Arabidopsis thaliana: one gene and its partner. The protein of the gene in region 1 interacts with the protein of each later gene in a pairwise test. Each region holds a gene or a part of one and is shown on either strand. Other genes may lie near its edges. The genes, in order: ARF10 and IAA32.

What was found.
Region 2: the proteins of ARF10 (region 1) and IAA32 interact in a two-hybrid assay, tested with the Arabidopsis thaliana proteins (2 studies listed by BioGRID).

Annotation. Positions count from the first base shown.
Region 1 is NC_003071.7:12,111,959-12,117,599, reverse strand, and holds ARF10 (auxin response factor 10), read right to left. Parts: upstream 3,712-5,641; 5' UTR 3,270-3,711; coding exon 2,190-3,269; intron 2,108-2,189; coding exon 1,254-2,107; intron 1,170-1,253; coding exon 1,104-1,169; coding exon of another isoform or gene 1,100-1,103; exon of another isoform or gene 1,017-1,099; coding exon 935-1,016; 3' UTR 658-934; downstream 1-657. UniProt on the Arabidopsis thaliana protein: Auxin response factors (ARFs) are transcriptional factors that bind specifically to the DNA sequence 5'-TGTCTC-3' found in the auxin-responsive promoter elements (AuxREs). Could act as transcriptional activator or repressor.
Region 2 is NC_003071.7:115,958-120,753, reverse strand, and holds IAA32 (indole-3-acetic acid inducible 32), read right to left. Parts: upstream 2,737-4,796; 5' UTR 2,580-2,736; exon of another isoform or gene 2,386-2,579; 5' UTR 2,370-2,385; coding exon 2,222-2,369; intron 2,119-2,221; coding exon 1,867-2,118; intron 1,788-1,866; coding exon 1,679-1,787; intron 1,602-1,678; coding exon 1,535-1,601; 3' UTR 1,246-1,534; downstream 1-1,245. Other genes in the region: AT2G01210 (Leucine-rich repeat protein kinase family protein), read left to right, coding at 1-490, 566-1,245; PDE331 (Octicosapeptide/Phox/Bem1p family protein), read right to left, coding at 3,458-4,319, 4,431-4,796. UniProt on the Arabidopsis thaliana protein: Aux/IAA proteins are short-lived transcriptional factors that function as repressors of early auxin response genes at low auxin concentrations.

The DNA of each region.
Region 1 (5,641 bases):
AAACATTGTAGATATTATAATCATTTTCTGTTTCTGTCGATTTTTAAAGATTCAATTTCTTGTTCTCAGCAGAAAGTTGTATAAACGTACGTGTGTGTGAATAAAATAGTATGTGGTTAATTTTCAAAGCAACTAACTTTAAGTACAAATGAAGGTATCTTAAACCAAATATTTAATAGATCTTCCTCTGCTATTGATTGAACTAATTAAATATGGAGGCAGTGAAGGAGGAGACCAAATTATGAAATTCATGTAGATCCGATGGACAATTAATATTTATTTATTTTCTTGCAGGAAAATTCCATTAAAGTATCGGTGAGTGAAATTTATTGGTGAATATTCTCTTACAAGAAATATGTAAAACAATAATATAAAAATAACCAACAGTTTAGGGAAGCTTTTGAAACAATAATTTAGCTAACAGTAGCTAGCACAAAAAAAAAAGTTAGCTAACAAGACAAAATAATTTCCACTTTTATCTTACAAAAAAGTTAGCTAACAAGCTACAAAAACAAATTTAATAGGAAAATTTGTTTCCATTAAAGAGAATTGAATGATATAGGCTTTTTGTTACTTAGTTCATAGTTCAACACCCAAAATGTGAAATTATATGTAAGCAATTTTTATATACTATTCGTAGAAGTGAACCATAATACACACATTTTACTCATAATAGTCTCTTCTTCAAATTTAGCTTTTGCTAGGTATTACCAAGTGATATGGCAGGTTCTTTGATTATCATATACAACTTGCAACCAAAACAAATAAATTCAAATACCAATTAGAGTACTTTTGGTAACACTTGGGAATGGTTTGTTACACACAAAAGACCAGCAAAAAAAGGATTTAAAATAGGGAAAAAAGAGAATTAAAGACAGAAATAAAATTAGGTTCAAAACAAAGGCCACTGCTTATTCCTCAATATGCTTCAAGTTCAAGCGAAGATGCTGAGCGGACCAGTCTTCGTAGAAGCGTCTATACCATTTTCACCAGTCCTGATTCCGGTTATCCACGTCCTATGCAAACCCGAAAAAAGCAAACTAAACTCGGTATTCCAATCGGTATATAATCAAACCCGAAATGTGAGCTTGAGATAGACTTACTTTCTCACGTTGTCGCCACCAATATCCATCTTGATTGTTAGCCGTTTAGTTGCTTTCATGAAATCACTGCATTTTTAAACCGGTTAATCAATCAAATGACGATAATCGCAAACAAACGGTTAATTGAAAGAATTCTTTTGAGATTTTTACCTGAAAGGTTCGTCTCCAATACGTTTGATAACACCATTTGCATCCCGGTACACAACATGAGTCAACAAATCCGACCTCTCTTCTATATGAAACATCTCAGCCAATTTCCGGTACAATTCTTGGTACGAGCCAATAACCGAGAGATCGAGTGTGCGTCCAACATCCTCAGATTCCATGAAAACTTTACAATGACCCGTCTCAAGTCCTTGCAAACTATAATTCCATGTTAACCCACGAGCCACTAAACCTTTCTCCTCCTCCGCTTCCGCCTCTTCTTCCAAAAACCGTTTTCGGTTCATAACTTGCTGTTCGGTTAAAATCGGTTGACCGAACAACACGAACTGATGAGTCTTAACCGAACCAACAGACTTCTTCTTATCCTGAACCATAGCAGGATTCCCCATAGTTAAAGAACACGAAATGTTATTACTATTCTCACTATCCCTAGCCTGATAATGATGATGCCTCGGGTTGAAACTCGATAGAAACATCGCCGGAGAATGTAACTTGTTGTTACCGGTGTAACTACTAAGATTGAGATCAGACAACAAAGACGGAGATGGTGATCCGAAGAGTTGTTGAGCTTGCCTGGCTCCCTGTATTCCTGCAGGAGCATTATTGTTGTCGTTTGACAGATAACACATGGACTCGCCACCGCCATTGTTGGCGAATCCCGGGGAGAAAATCGGGAATTTAGTACCGTGGAATGGAAACTCAAATGGCTGCGGAATCCTAATCTTCTTCCTCGGAGAGAATGGAGATAAATGTATTGTAGGCATGTTCGATACCAATTCGACTAACCACGGACTAACCCGCTTAACGTTTTGTAACAAATCCGGTTCGTCCCAAGCTACCTATAACAACCAATATAACCGTAACATTAACAAACAAACATGGATTCTGTTAAAAGGAAGAGACTTTGAGTAACTAACTAACCTGAAGGAGACGCCATGGTGAATTAGGCCAACGAATTGGATCAGCGACTTGAACGGCGGAGACAGTACCCATAAACCAACTGATTCTAGAAGAATCCTCTGTTTCAAACGCCATTTTAAAACGCATACCACTACACCATCTTATCCTCATTGCTGATCTAACATCAGCTGCTTTTACGCAAAACTCCGGTGTACTAGCGCGTGGATAATAAACAACCTCAAACGCTTGTCCACACGCTGCACGCGCCACCGCTTCCGCTACTGCTTCTACTCTAACCCTCCCTGTAGCCGCGGCGTTTCCGTCGTTGTTTCCGTTGCGTTTCATCATCATTAGCTTCGATGTTGTTGTTGTTGACTCGTCGTCACGGAGGAAACCGGAGAATCCAGGGTAAGGATTGTCGGATCCTGCGTTAGATCCGAGACCGCCGCGTTTAGCGCGGCGGATTCCGACGCAGAGGTCACCGGATTCAGAACGGAGGAAGACGATTGAGTCTCCGGCGATTAGTTTCTTCTGGTTAACGAAAGTGCTCCAACCGGTGGTTAGGAGATGACGGCGAGGTGTTCCTCTGTAAATATGCCGGAATTTCCAAGTCTCGCCGTGGATGTCTTTAGCAATCACGGTTTGAACCGGTGGCTCCGCCGAGTAATCAAGCCGCGGGAAAATCGTCTCGGCGCAATAACGTGGAACGGAGAAACCACCGCCGTTATTAGCGTCAGACTGCGTTAACGTTTTAGCGAAAGACGCCGGTTTCTCTTTACCGTTACCGTTACCGTCAGAAGAAGGAGGAGTTAGACCCAAAACGGCGTCGTTTTCTAGATCCAAGTCGTTTCCCGGAAGTGGCAAAAGCGTAATTTTAGCAAAAACTTCGTCTGTTTCAGCGTCGGCGAGGAACTTCACGGAGACGACACGACAGAGGATAAGAGGTGGAACGCGCGGCGCGTGAAAATCAGGAGGCGCGTGAGCGTGCTCTGTGTGGCCTTGAGCGAAGTAAAAAACCGTTGAATTCAGTGAAGGGATTTGAACCATTGATCCTGCACAAGCATGCCATAGTTGTGGATCCAAGCTTTTCTCTTGCTCCATCTAGACGAAGTTGTGTAACCCCCAAATTCTTTACTTAAAAGGAAAGATCAATACTTTGTTAAGTTTCAAGACATGAACATCAAGTTCTTGTCTTGAGCAGAGAAGAAGAGAGAGAGAGAGAGAGAGAGAGACAAGAACGGTTTCAGGGGAAATAGAGAAAGCGAAGTGAAAGAGATAGAGAGAGAGAGAGAGATTAGAGTTTAAATTTGCAGAGGAAACAGTAAAGTTTCGACTTTTATGATTTTGTTTCACTTCAAAAGAGGTATAATAGTGAAGGGGGAAAAAGCTTTAATGGCTGATCAGATCGTAGAAGAAGAAGAGAGAGATAGAGAGAGATGCTATAATCAGGTACGGACAAGACCATCGTAATAAATAAACATCTTGTTTTTCTCTTTAGTAATGATGTATACAGAAACAAGAACCAAACAAACCAGAGAGATTATCTCAAACACAAACTTTATAACTCTTTTTATTTTTCATTTTTTTAATATAAATAATATATAATAAATTGTTTTCAAGATAAATAAATTTTGTTTTTTTGTTTGATTAAAAAAAACTGCAACTAACTTGTTTGTTTCATTTGTTGCTTCACTAATAATAATAAAATTAGCAATTTATCGTATCACGAGCCGCGATAATTTGACATGTACCAACAAATTTTTGATTTTTTACTCGAAAAATCAGAAACCATGCTTGACCAGATACAAACCTAACCATGGTTAAATCTTTTTTATCTTTTTTTTTTTACTTTCTGCTTTTCACTTTGACTCTTTTTTTTGCCCGTTAGTGAAAGATGGGTTCCATTACACGATTGTGGTAAAACAAGAAATAGGTTAAACCCATGGTAAATTATATGATGTTGAAATTAGATGCCAAATAAACAGTCCTTTTTTGTACTACACTGGGGTAAAAACTATGATATTTTTAACCCATGCAAATGTTTCTTTTTATTTAAATGAAAAATAAATAGTTGCATATTATTCCCTCATTTCACCTCATTTCACAATAAATTTTCTTTTGATAATTTTCACACAAAAGTATAAATAAAATAAAAATATTCATTAGTTGACTATTGGTTTTCTTCTTCATAAAGTGTTCATTTAGATTTAAAGTTAAATTCTGGAGTCAAACTTTTTAAAAATAAAAATTTCTTCTAGAAAGATTTTTAATTTCAAAATCAATTAATGAAAAAAGGAAACTAAAGAAAATGGATTATGATCCACAACTTTGAAAGAATTACGGAGATGCTCGAATATGGTGGCAGATACTTTAGCAAAACAACATATTCCTTTGAACAACCTCTTTTATTTTTATGCTTTCGTTCCACATGTAATTACTGATCTTCTTCATCGTGACTATGTCACCGCTCGTCAATAACAAAGCTAATGTTTGATGAAAAAAAAAAATAGAATTACGGATAAATAATTATTTAGGAAGGAAAAAAAGAATAATTATGAGTTGTGTAAAATGACGTCATAAAAGTGGGGATAAAACGTACGTGGGAGTAGGAGAAGGGGGTTGACCCGAGAGATGAAAACGCGGCTGTTAAAAAGGGATTGTGGAGATTGGAGTGTGAGTGAGTTCGTTGAAGTTTTGTACTCGTCGATTGTTTTGTCGGATCAATATTATCCAATTATAACCTGACACGACATACCCAACTCATCCGTATATTGGTCCTTTTTTCTCTGCAACTATTTTACCATCAAATTATATTTACTCATAACAATTTTAAACGTTGATTGGTAAGTGTTTTTGTTGTATTTATCCTTCTGTATAGTTAGAAATAATTCAAAATTTGTGTCTCATCTTTAGAAATTAGTTTCATAAAATCTAGAAAATCTGTTTCTTTATATTTTGAAAACTAGATTTTCCTCGTACGTTGTCTATTTTAGTTGAATAATAAAAACAAATTTGTGTTTTTTTTGCTTCAAACAAAAGTAATATAAGGAAGTATAGCTTACTAACTTCATTAGAATATTAGAAATTAATTATATAACTCAACCAAAAACTTCTACCATCGAAGAATAATAACTCTTAAAGTCCAAATTAAAAAGATTTCCATCTAAGGCCTAAGTTTTGTTCTTAGGTGAGGCATAACGTCAATTTTTCTGCTTCCAGTTTAAAACTTTAAGTCGTTCCGAAAAAAGAACAAAAAAACTAATTTTGCATTTGTGTTTGATTGTGAAAAATATGTTTTTTTAAAAGTAGATTCGCAAAACAGATTAGTCACAAAACAGCTTTACATGGGTTTTCAGTTATGTTTTTCTATCTTAACTTCAAAAATGATAAGTTAAAAAAATACACGAATCTCTTTTTGTCTCTACAACAATTATTTTTATTTGAGAATATTAGCTACAATATTAATAAATTGG
Region 2 (4,796 bases), about 12 Mb from region 1:
GACGTGTTTGGTATCTGCCTTGTGGGTTTGCTTTTCACTTACTGCTACTCAAAGTTCTGCGCTTGTAACCGCGAGAACCAATTCGGAGTCGAGAAAGAATCCAAGAAAAGGGCTTCTGAGTGTCTGTGTTTCCGTAAAGACGAATCCGAAACGCCATCTGAAAACGTGGAGCATTGCGACATTGTTCCCCTCGACGCTCAGGTTGCGTTTAACCTGGAGGAGCTGCTAAAGGCGTCAGCTTTCGTTCTGGGGAAGAGCGGAATCGGAATTGTCTACAAAGTGGTTCTAGAGAACGGGCTCACACTGGCCGTACGGAGATTGGGTGAAGGAGGGTCTCAGAGATTCAAGGAGTTTCAGACAGAAGTTGAAGCCATAGGGAAACTAAAACATCCTAACATTGCTAGTCTTCGAGCTTATTATTGGTCTGTCGATGAAAAGCTTCTCATCTACGACTATGTTTCCAACGGTAACCTCGCAACCGCCCTCCACGGTGAGTCACTCTTTTCTCATTTCAAGATGCATTATTCAGTTACATCATCGTAAATGTGTGTGTGTGTATGTGCAGGAAAGCCGGGGATGATGACCATCGCTCCGTTGACATGGTCTGAACGGTTGAGGATAATGAAAGGGATTGCTACAGGGCTTGTTTATCTGCATGAGTTTAGTCCCAAGAAATACGTCCATGGAGATCTCAAGCCAAGCAACATTCTCATTGGACAGGACATGGAACCTAAGATCTCAGATTTTGGACTAGCACGGTTAGCTAACATCGCTGGAGGATCTTCTCCGACCATACAGTCTAACAGAATCATCCAAACGGATCAACAGCCGCAAGAGAGGCAACAACACCATCACAAGAGCGTATCTTCGGAGTTCACTGCTCACTCTTCTTCTGGATCCTACTATCAAGCACCTGAGACTCTCAAGATGGTAAAACCTTCACAGAAGTGGGATGTTTACTCTTATGGGATCATTTTACTGGAATTGATAGCGGGTAGGTCTCCCGCAGTGGAGGTGGGGACATCGGAAATGGATCTAGTGCGGTGGGTACAGGTATGCATTGAGGAGAAGAAACCATTGTGTGATGTTCTTGATCCTTGTTTGGCTCCTGAGGCAGAGACGGAAGACGAGATTGTTGCTGTTCTTAAGATTGCAATCAGTTGCGTGAATAGCAGTCCAGAGAAAAGGCCTACCATGAGGCACGTTTCTGATACGCTCGACAGATTACCCGTGGCCGGCGATTGAGACATCTAGAGATTGCACATAAAGCTTGTTTTGAAATTTGAAGCTGCAATGTATTTTGAAGCATAAGCCTGATGACACTAATGTGGTTACCGTTTGTTTTGTTTTATTTTGTTCTTTTATTTGTCCCAGTCTTGTTGGTGGTTGGTTATTAAGATGTCCCTCTCTTCATAATCGTATTTATAGCTTAAAGCTTCCATTACATCAGATATTGAACAATAGAACCACAAGTGAGCTAATTTGGATCTTAGATAATCAGTGAACGCCCCAGAAGAAGCTTGGACTTAAAAGCTTAAAAGGGAAGAAGAGCATCGTTTCTTCTTGCGATTCGCATCCGATCCACGCTTTCGACAAACTCCCTACAGGTTTCAGACAAATTACAAAGTGGTTAACTTAAAATGCTTAGTTTTTGTATAGAGAAAATGTAAGAGCTTACTTCCATGGAACATCCCCAACATTCCTCCAAATGCCTTCTCTGTCTCTGTAGACCAAAGAGAACTCAGACTCAGTCTGGAACAACCTCAATCCCGACACGGTCTGCATCCCTGCAGATTCGAATTAATGTGGCAAAACCTTCTGAAACATACTTGTAGCTGGAAGCTTGGGGGTCAGAACACGGCTTACCAAACATATCATTGAGCTGAAGAGCAAGAGTTGCGTAAGCTCCTTGATCAACAAGGCAAACCTTGCGCCCTACCACTAGGCCATCCAGATTTACCTTTACGTAAGCATATTTTCCTCTGCTCTCTCCTTCATTATTGTAATATCCTTGGGCAAGTCTTTGGTGTCCAGTGTCCTCACTCTTCAACTGTGTAATGCTGTTATAGCTGGGCTGCGACCAGTCTATGAGCTCTCCATACCCGTCGAGACCTATCACTTTGATTCACATATAGATATTGAAGGTAGCAAGTTGAGGATTAAGAAAACTAACTAATGATGAGGTGAAAGCACGGCTATTCAGCAAAAAAAAAAAACTCACTTCGCGCCGGTGGGAGGTAAGTTTCATGTTGTATGGTCCTAAGGCTGAGGCCTAGATCGATTACCCCACCACCCTTTTTGGTCTGTGAGTAATATGTATGAAACTTGGAAGAACCTTTGAAGAAGTCTGCAGGTGTGTTTGGGTCCATTGATGCTTTTTTATTTCTAAAGATGCAGAGAAGGGAAAGTGAGATGAGAAAAAGAGAGCTCACTTCTAAAGATTTATAGTATGAGCTGATGCTAAAAGAGTGTCAGAAGAGTTAAAGAAAAAAAGACAGAATTGCAGACATGAAAGAGACATAAGACAAGAAAAACCCATTAAGATCCAGTTGGTTTGAAGCAAGGGATGGGGAGCTGACCACAGAGAGAGATTTGGTTCAGATCTTGTAATCCAACCAGGTCTGCCAATGCTTCTGATGCACAAAGTCACATCTCAACTCTGTGAACACTGCAGAAATATTATCTGGGACTATTGACAACTCGATTCAAAGTGAGGCTCTGTGTTGCTTATGAGAGAATAGTGTAGTGCAAGAGTAAAATATCTTTGAGTCATGTATAGAGAGAGAGATAAAAAGGACTGGGTTTGGTGTTTAGGTAAAGATACAAATGCCTATCTCTTTCAAAAGAGATAGTTGTGTTGCTAAATTGCAAGACAGATCGATTTTGTCACTACCTTTTTCACCCACACCTTGTCTCTTAGAAGTTGTAGGGTTTGTGTGTACTTTTGCAAGACCACACACATGTTTTAATATCTGTACCTATGCTCCCATGGATAGCAAGAAGCCAGACATACATTCTTCCAAATATTAAATGTTATACATAACATTTCAGAATCTTTCTGAACAATATTATAGCCTTCAAAGTCTCTTGAAAAAACAAGATAGAGAGATGATGATCAAAAAAGTGATACATTTACAAAATGAAATGAATGATAATAATATGATATAAGATCCAGGAAAATGGTAAAGCACTACATGTATCAATTGCAACTATATAATGTAAAATCCCACCAAGAAGCACTATTTATTTGTTTTTTTAATTTACTCACACAACACTTTTAAACACAACCCATAATACCAAACTTAACATGACACCAGACTCTTTTTTTGATGCAGCAACTTGTAAAAGAAGAGAAGAAAAAAGAAGTAAAAGTTATATATTTATACGTTTAAAAACCAACCCGGGGTTTTCTTCCTCCAAAATTTTGTGGTTCATCTTCATGTGTTCCTTGTGTGTGTCACAATGGCTGTGAACTCCGGATCTGTTGAGTCATGTTCTCAGCTGGAAGCTTAGCAGCAGCAGAACCATCAGGCATCACCATGGCAGGTGGAGGCCCAGTCATTGTCTGGTACTGTGCATGTCCCATAGGTTGAGTGTAGTATATCTGTGTATGAGCATTGTCGACATATTCATATCCATAGTTTGGATTCCCAGCTGAACCAGACTGAGGAGGGTGACGGATCTGCGAATACCCCATGAATTGCTGCTGGTTTGTGGGAATCTGGTGAACCATCTGAGCACCGCCCACACCTGGGGCTGTTGTGTAAACCCCAGCCTGTCCCATCTCAGGTTTGCCACTGCTAACACTTCTCATGTGGTTGTTAGGAGGTGGAGGCATCATGGTAGAGTTGGGATGGTTAGAGGGGATAGACCCTGCAGCATCGCTCACACTTGGAGATTGTGGCACAGGCATACTGTAGGGCCTAGGTGGGACAGGAGCAGTGACATAATAAACAGGATAAGGCTGCTGATCCAGTCGACCTGCGTGTTGATGGAAGGACTGTTGAGGCTGTTGCGAAGGGTAAACCTGGATGTAAGTCGGGACAGGAAGGCCGCTAGACGGATGGTGATGAATGTATTGAGGAGGAGCAGCAGTGTGTATGAACTGCTGCTGTGGCTGAGATTGTGCAGATTGTTGCTCAAACTGGGGGTGAAGGATATAGGCTGGGTCCTGATTCTGATGCTGTGACAAAAGTGTGCTTGGATCTGAGGGATTGATCATACCAGTAACAACGGTAGAGCCAGAAGGTATCTGAGCAATTGGTTCTTGATAGACAGATGGTCTTTGGTGAAACATTGGGTTGCTCATACTGCTATCACTGAGGCATTCATTATATAGCAAACACACAATCAGAGTTCTGACCAATCTTAGTTCTTCTATAGCATCAAATTAAGGCTCATGAGGGTTCCAATATAAGAAGAAAGAGTACCTGGAAACGGAATTGGGTGATGGCAGCTCGTGTCCACCACCGCTATTTGATTTCAGCTGATGAGCCTGCTGAGGCGGTAGATTCTGCGGCTGCGATCGCGGAGTCGGAGGCTTCCTGTATCCAGCCTGCACGCCGTGATCGGATCTCTCGTCATCTGAGTAAACCCTGGCCTGGAACTCATTAGAGACGGTGGCTGCAGTCACAGGCGCAGCAGGAAGGGCGATTGTGACAGGCATCGGCGGTGGTGAAGAGATCGCAGCAAATCCGTCGTCATGTAGCTGATGCTTGTTCCCGACGTTGAATCGTGCGAACTGTTCTTCAATTCCCAGATTTCTCTGATCTGGCAAAGTCCTTACTCCGCCTGGT